Callithrix jacchus: one gene and its partner. The protein of the gene in region 1 interacts with the protein of each later gene in a pairwise test. Links are inferred from orthologs where the notes say so. Each region holds a gene or a part of one and is shown on either strand. Other genes may lie near its edges.

Region 1 (4,242 bases):
CACACACCTGAAGCTGAGGATGCACGGTGCCTGCCAGGTTCCCAGCCTCTGTGCGAGGGAAGTCCATGATGCCTACAGGTCTATAGGCTTCCATCTCAAAGGTGGGAAAGGCTGTGCCTGTGTGGGAGGCTGGGTGTGTGAGCCAATCCCTCCTTCCAGGATAGGGTACAGAGTGGGCCGTGGGGGGGACATCAGGGCTGGATCCCAGCCTGCATGTGGGCCTGGATCCGCTGCTCCTGAGCCAGGCCTTCTCTTCCTGAGAGCTGTTTCCCACAAGTCCCCGGGGTCTCACCCTGGTTGAAGAGATCGATGAAGTCCAGAACTGTGGCCACCAGGGCCCTCATCCTCGAGAAAATGTCAGCCCGCAGCACACCCTGTGGCTGGGGGCCCAGCTCCAGAGCTGGAGACCAGGAAGCAAGGAATAGGACCCATGAACTCCTTGGAGAGGCCCCGCCCCCTGGTGCATGGCCCCACCCCCAGCCCTCCTGGTCCCGCCCACTTCTCAGGAGGCCCCGGCTTACCCAGTCCATTTTTGGCCACGGAGTCCAGACTGTAGCTCTCCTCCCCGGACCGCTGGTACAGGAAGACCTGGCAGGACAGCTCGGGGTACTGCAGCTGGGGGGCGAGAGAGGCAGGTTAGGGGTCCAGGCCTAGGTGGGAGGGGAAGCAGGTGGGGGGCGTGGCATGGAGGAAGCACAGGGCACCACCCTCCTTGGCCAGGTCTCCCTCTGTCCTCTGGCAGGGCAGGGGAGGGGGTGTCCGGGGCCTGCAGTGCTGGCCGGTGGCAGACCCCGAAGACTGGAACCCAGGGGACCTCAGCCCGGGGAAGAGGGACTAATCAAAGAGGTTCCGGTCTTGCCCCACCCTGCCCTCCTTCCCTCTCCCCTCTGGGGCAGTATGCTCGGCCGAGGCCACCTGCAGATGGCGGCACAGGTGCAAGGCAAAGACGTCGTGGGAGGACTCTGCGATGAAGCAGGTGCCCATGTTGGCCGTGCTGGTGTGCAGGTCAAGGACAAAGTCAAAGGCCTGGCCCGAGGCCTTGGGTCCCAGCAGCTGGTTCAGCTCTCGGGCTCTCGTCACCTCGTATGGGTCATCCGGGGTAGGCCTGGAACTGCGGGAAACGGGAATGGGGGACGCCCACCCCACAGTCTCAGTCAGTCTTCAGTGGTTTAAGTGGGGAGGGGCAAGGGCCCCGCAGGAGCCACTCTGAGCGGCTCAAGGCTTGTCCCTCTTCCGTTGTGGCTGTGCTCGCCCCTGCCCATGGCCCTCTTGGCTCTGCACTTCCCGGTCATGTCCAAGCCCTCAGTCTGGCCTGCCCTCCCGCCTGCCTACCCACTCACCTGCCTCTCATGCCCTCACTCCAGCCACACTGCCCAAGCAGCATGCTGGTCTCACCCGCAGGCCTGTGTTCGTGCTGGGCCCTCCACTGGAAACTCCCTCTTACTTTCTCTTCCCCTGGCTAGTTTTACTCAGCCTTTGGGGCTTGGCTGAGATACCACTGCCTCCAGGAAGCCTTCCCTGACTGCTCTCGGCCAGGTTAGCTGTTTTGTGTAGCCCCCAGGCCTGCCTTTAGCCACCTGGGTTATGGTTGCCCAGTTCTTCCTCTGTGTCCCCATTAAGCAGGAAGCCAGTATCTTGGTCCTATTCCCCCTTCTCTCCCCTGAGCTGGCCAGAGCCTGGTCTGGAGATGGGGCTCAGTGACTATTCTTTGGAAGGAGGCACGAACAGTGGTCAGGGCACATGACAAGTAAACATGGCCTGTGGAGTGAATCTGAAGGAAGCACTGGGTCTGGGATTCCCAGAGGAGGTCCTGACACAACTTGCAGTCAGGAAGGGCTTCTTGGAAGAGGTGACATCAATCTGGGTTTCTCTACATGTTCAGTTTGTCCCCATGGAGGAATGGGCCACACAGGTAGAGGGGAAGCAGGAGTGAAGGCAGGGAGGGCCCTGCTGGTGGCTGGAGGGGTGGTGTGCGGTGGGGACTCGCTGCCCAACTGCCTGTGCCAACCTGGTGGCAAGAGAACTCACTTGAGGAAGGTGCTGGTGAAGGTGCGGTTGAGGTCGCGGTCCACGTAGCGGCGGCAGGCCGTGGTGGCTGCGGGGTTGGCCAGTACCGGCACTGCGGAGAAGCTGGGTCTCTGCAGCTCTGCCGGGGCCAGCAGCCAGTGCCGCACCAGGTAGACGCCGGACATCTCATTGCCGTGTGTGCCCCCGGCCACCGCCACGCGGCGCAGGGGCTCCCGGGGCACGGGCAGTGAGCACATGCTGGCATGGGGCGGCACCTGGGGGTGGGCATACTCAGGAGACCCCGGCCCCAAGGCAGGGCCCCAGACTCAGAGTGGGGATGGCGGTGGGAGGGCTGAGGAGTCCCAACTCCACAGGGCAGCCACCTGCCAGGAGGTGTGGCCGGCTGGGGGTGTCTCAGCTCTGTCCCACCTGCACCCCGGTGGCCCTTTCTCTGATGAGACAATTCTCCTGCTTCTTTGGAGAGAACAAATTTCTTTTTCCTAAACTGAGAAGCGGGGCCCAGTCATTCAGGTAGACGGGTTCACCGAGGCACACTCCCTACAGGGAAAGGGCTCTGCCCCTTTTTATAGTCAGGGAAACTGAGGCTCAGTGTGGGGAGTGGAAAGAAGCGTCACCAGAGTTCACTGTCGTGTGTCTGGGTTCTAGGCAACTGCTGCCCTTCCTGCCTCTCCCGTATGCTCCTCTGAGCTGGTGTGGGGGTCTTAGGGCAGGGGGCACTTACCTGCTGATGTGCAGCTGGGCTTCCCGGGGTACCCTGGCTGGTGTCTAACTGGCAGACAGGCTGGTATTTCTGGGCCTGAAGATCCACAGACGGGAAGTGTTTGTGTCAAGTCGGCAGAGAGCAGGGGGCGGATGGGACGGGCTGAGGTCCACGCAGCCAAAGGTTGGAGTGCCAGGGTCAGCTCCACAGGCACTGCCCCACCCTCCCCTCTCTGCTGCTTGGGCTGCTATGGCCCATTGAGCCCAGGCCCTGCTGGCAAGTTCCTGCCCCTGCCCTTTGTTCCTCTAACACTACTAAGAGGGGCACCTGGGTGGCCACCAGGGTGACAAGTTGTCCCTCCTTCACCACCTCGGCCCCCAGAGGGCTCTGGTCACTCCTGAGTGGCCCTTACCCACAGGTGCCATGTGGAGCCCCAGTTTTGCAGCTCTTTGTTGCTTTAAGCAAAATTTCAAAATGTCAGATTCGATAACCCAGTCATTTTCCAGGACAGCATAATTCAGAGGACTCAGTTTGCCCTGTTTTAGAAACGACCCTCAGGCTCATTTTATAGATGTGAAAACTGAGGTTCAGACGGATGCCCACAGGCACACAGAGCCGCCCTAGAGACAGGCAGGCCAGGGGCACATAGAGCCGTAGTGGCAGGCTGCTGGTGGCACTCAGAGCCCTGGAGGTGGGTTGCAGGTGGCACTCAGGGCATCCAATCTGGCTCCACCCCTCCAGCTACCTCTCAAGAGCAAGGAGGGGAAGGATGAAGGTGAGGTCCCCTGCACTCAGCCCCAGGGCTTGTCCCTCCCACCAGGCTCAGCTGTCTGCTGGGAGAAGCTGAGGCCAGTCCAGAGGTCACTGGGGCGTGAGGCAAGCCGCTTCGCCAGGGCCTGCTGTATGCCAGGCGCTGGGACCCTCAACTGGAGCCTCCCCCAGGCATCAGTCCCAGGCCTTCTTCACCACCACACGGGGTCTCCCCAGGACAGCCCAGCCCTGCTGCAGATGCCAGGCTCACCAGCCTGGGGGGTCTCTGGGTGGCTAGGACCCTCTAGGCTAACCCCTCTCGGAAGCTGCCCAGATCACACTCAACTCTGTGTGGCCTGGGCTCTCCTGCACCCACACTCGGGGCTCTGCAAGCTCAGAGCACGGGGATTGTGGGGCAGGGGACTTGTCGTCCTGGCTCCCATCAGGGCAGCTGGGTCCTTGACGAGGTGCCAAGAGGGGCAGATGGAGCGTGAGGCTGAGCACCCAGCAGGCCAGGGCTACCTAAGAGCCCCTCCAGGGGCCACCACTCCTGGCATCTGGAGCCTCAGCAAAAGGAGGGCAGAGACTGCCATTAGGGGGCCATGCCATGCCATCCACTCTGGCCCAGCCCTGGGGGCAGCTGTCACTGACTCCGTTTTCCAGGTGTGGACTGAAGAAGCTCCGGGGCTTGAGCAACTTGACTGAGTCCCTGGCAGGTGGCAGGAGAGGGAGTCAGCAGAGGAGCCTGCTGGCCTGGGTCTGGT
Region 2 (3,554 bases), on another chromosome or scaffold:
TAGGTCCAGATTCCACTGTGAGAGGTAGAAAAGATTGCACTCTATTACAAACCTGTCTGTACAATTTTATTTATCAAATTCATGTATTACTCTTAAAAAAATTTTTTTTAATCATTGGACTCCAAGTGTTCTTAAACTGAGGTTGAATTAAATGGCTTTTTGTATTTTCTAAATTTCTAGAAACTTTTTAAAAGAGATACTCAGCTGGGCACCATAGCTCATGCCTGTAATCCCAGCATTTTGGGAGGCCGAGGTCAGGAGTTTGAGACTAGCCTGGCCAACATGGTGAACTCCTGTCTCTACTAAAAATACAAAAAAATTAGCCAAGTGTGGTGATGGGCACCTGTAATCCCTGCCACTTGGGAGGCTGAGGCAGGAGAATTGCTTGAACTGGGGAGGTGGAGGTTGTAGTGAGCTGAGACCACCACTGCATTCTAGCTTGAGTGACAGAACAAGACTCCGTCAAAAAAAAAAAAGACATTCAGTGTAAATGTACCACTCAAGGTACTGAGTTATAAGACTTGTAAAAATACCTAGGGGAGGGTCAGCGAGGTGTGGGGAAGTTGGGGAGGGATAACATGGGGAGAAATGCCAGATAGAGGTGATGGGGGGAGTTGCCATGTATGTACCTAAGCAACAATCCTGCATGATCTGCACATGTACCCCAGAACCTAAAGTACAGTTTAAAAAAAATTGTGATGTGTCTTAATGTAGGGCTATTTTTTCTTTTTCTTTTAATTATTTATTTATTTTAAAGATGGGGCTTCACCCTGATGGCCAGGCTGGTCTTGAACTCCTGACCTCAGGTGATCCACCCACCTCGGCCTCCCAAAGTTGTAGGATTACAGGCGTGAGCCACTGCACCCGGCCTAGGGCTATTTTTTCATCTTAGTTTACAACTTTTTAAAATCACCACACAGTCTGGAATGTACTGTAAGATTATACCATTAAGATCACTCTTTCTAGATAGGTGCTTTTAGAAGAGACTAAAAATTCTAGTCATCTTACTCTTTTACATTTTTTTGTTTTGGGCAATAAATCAGTTCTGAGCTTCCTCTTTAATCTCATTGTTAATTTGTTTAAAAATCAACAACTTGGGCCAGGCACTGTGGCTCACGTCTGTAATCCCAGCACATCGGGAGGCCGAGGCAGGCAGATGAGGAGGTCAGGAAATAGAGACCATCCTGGCCAACATGGTAAAACCCTGTCTCTACTAAAATACAAAAGAAATTAGCCGGGCATGGTGGCATGTGCCTATAGTCCCAGCAACTTGGGAGGCTGAGGCAGAGGTTACAGTGAGCCGAGATCATGGCACTGTACTCCAGCCTGGCATCCAGAGCAAGACTCTGTCTCAAAAAAAAAAAAAAGAAAAAAAATTTAAATCCATAAATTGTGTATAGTGTAGTATTTAAAAGGAAGGATGAGTTAGATCTGTGTTGCATGAAAAGATCGCCATAACATAGTGCTGAGAAAGCAAGTCACTGCACAGTACATAGAATGATTCCATTTATGTTTCAAAAATAAGGCCTATTTCTATATGTGCCCATAGATGAGTCTTATAAATGCATAGAAAAATAACTGGGACATTGCAGAACAGCTACTAATCTATTGCCTGTGTGTTTAAAGTTTGGCAAAAATAACAAGTTTATTCTGGTAAAAATGCCTCCAAATTACAACTGAAATATTTGAACTGTGTACATTGCTGGTAACTGAATTGGCATGTATGAAAATAAGGCTTGTAGGCCTGGCTCATGCTTGTAATCCCAGCACTTCAGGAGGCCAAGGTTGGCAGATCTCCTGAACCCAGGAGTTCCAGACCAGCCTGGGCAACATGGCAAAACTTTGTCTTTACAAAAAATTTAAAAATTAGCCAGGTGTGGTGGCACATACCTGTGGTCCCAGCTACTCAGGAGACTGAGGTAGGAGGATCACCGGAGCCCAGGGAGGTCGAAGCTACAGTGAGCTATGACTATACCACTGCCCTCCAGCTTGGGTGGCAAGTGAGACTGTATGCCAAAAAATTTTTTTTCTTTAATTTTTAAAGAAAAAAATAAAACTTGTGTAATTGTGTTACCCTTAGAGTTTTTGTCACCTGATTATTTTGTGGCTAATGACTGTTGTGTTTTCCTTCTTGAAATTTAGAAAATTACCAAAGAAATGGATGACTTCCTGCAAAAATTGAGGCAGAAGATCAAAATCGGAGTAGTAGGCGGGTCGGACTTTGAGAAAGTACAGGAGCAACTGGGAAATGATGGTAAGTGATAAGTTGCTGATCGTATCTGGTAGAACATTAACTTCTTATGAGGATATTGTGGCTGAATATCATAGGCTGCCCTGAATTCTTGTTCCCATATGGCAGACTTTCTGCTTCCTTGTTTGGGAAACATTTTCATTTTTTATTTTTATTTTTTTTAATTTTTGGAAACATTTTCTTCATCTTTATTTTTCCTCTGCTTTTAATCCAGTAAATTTCAAGATTTACTGATGGAGAACTGGGTGCTCAGATGTGTAGGTAGATTCACCTAGGAAGGTCAGCTGCTGTGTCTTTGCACATGGTAATCTCTCTGCCTGGAATAATTCTTACTTGTACCCATTCACTGCCCTTCTAGCCTTAGTCCGGCCGGTCTTCATATTGTCCCTCTGACAGCCTCTCTCACCTCCCCACCACTGGAACAGAATTGTCAACACAAGACCCTGGAAAACTGGAGAAGCTTATTGACCCCTTTACTGGAGATTCTGACTTGATAGGTCTATGGGGCCTGGGAATCCTATCTTAGCAAGTACCTCTGAGAGATTCTGGTGCACAACCCTGCTAATGTAGCATTCTGTAATTATTGCAAACTATATGATGATACGTTTTTAAAGAGCAAGAGTATGGATTATTCATCTCCATAGCCCCAGGACCTCTTGGCCTATAAGAAATTGTAAGTGTGTCGGGCATGGTGGTGGTGGCTCACGCCTGTAATTCCAACACTTTGGGAGGCCAAGGCAGGCAGATCACGAGGTCAAGTCACTAACATGGTGAAACCCCGTCTCTACTAAAAATACAAAAAATTAGCCAAGTGTTGTGGCATGAGCCTGTAATCCCAGCTACTCGGGAGGCTAAGGCAGGAGAATCGCTTGAACCCAGGAGGCGGAGGTTGCAGTGAGTCGAGATTGTGTCCCTGCACTCCAGCCTGGGCGACAGAGCGAGATTCCATCTCAAAAAAGAACAAAAAAAAGTAAGGGCAGAGATGGATGAATTGATTGTTCTTTTATCCCCTGTTGTCCCCAGAGTTCTCACATCTTGGAACCAGCTCCTCTAGAGCAAGATTTCTCAACCTCTGCACTCTTGATATTTTGGACCAGTTAGGGCTGTCCTGTGCTATGTAGGGTATTTAGCAACATCCCGGGCCTCTACCCACTGCGTGCCCGCAGCACACACACATGCACACATACAGCTATGACAACCAAAAATGTCTCCAGACATTGCCAAATGACCTCCTTGTAAAATCATCCCCATTTGAGAGCTGCTATTATAAATATACCTTTTTTTTTGAGACAGAGTTTTGTTC

Evidence for each region.
Region 2: the proteins of ACY3 (region 1) and PMM2 interact in binary tests that used the Homo sapiens proteins (3 or more experiments, as listed by UniProt). The two-hybrid records come from large-scale screens. The link is inferred for Callithrix jacchus from reciprocal best matches to the Homo sapiens genes ACY3 and PMM2.

The regions. Positions count from the first base shown.
Region 1 is NC_133511.1:124,734,138-124,738,379, forward strand, and holds the start of ACY3 (N-acyl-aromatic-L-amino acid amidohydrolase (carboxylate-forming)), read right to left. Parts: upstream 2,827-4,242; 5' UTR 2,750-2,826; intron 2,283-2,749; 5' UTR 2,265-2,282; coding exon 2,029-2,264; intron 1,112-2,028; coding exon 916-1,111; intron 616-915; coding exon 522-615; intron 401-521; coding exon 293-400; intron 118-292; coding exon 1-117. UniProt on the Homo sapiens protein: Plays an important role in deacetylating mercapturic acids in kidney proximal tubules. Also acts on N-acetyl-aromatic amino acids.
Region 2 is NC_133513.1:11,051,493-11,055,046, forward strand, and holds part of PMM2 (phosphomannomutase 2), read left to right. Parts: intron 1-2,142; coding exon 2,143-2,254; intron 2,255-3,554. UniProt on the Homo sapiens protein: Involved in the synthesis of the GDP-mannose and dolichol-phosphate-mannose required for a number of critical mannosyl transfer reactions.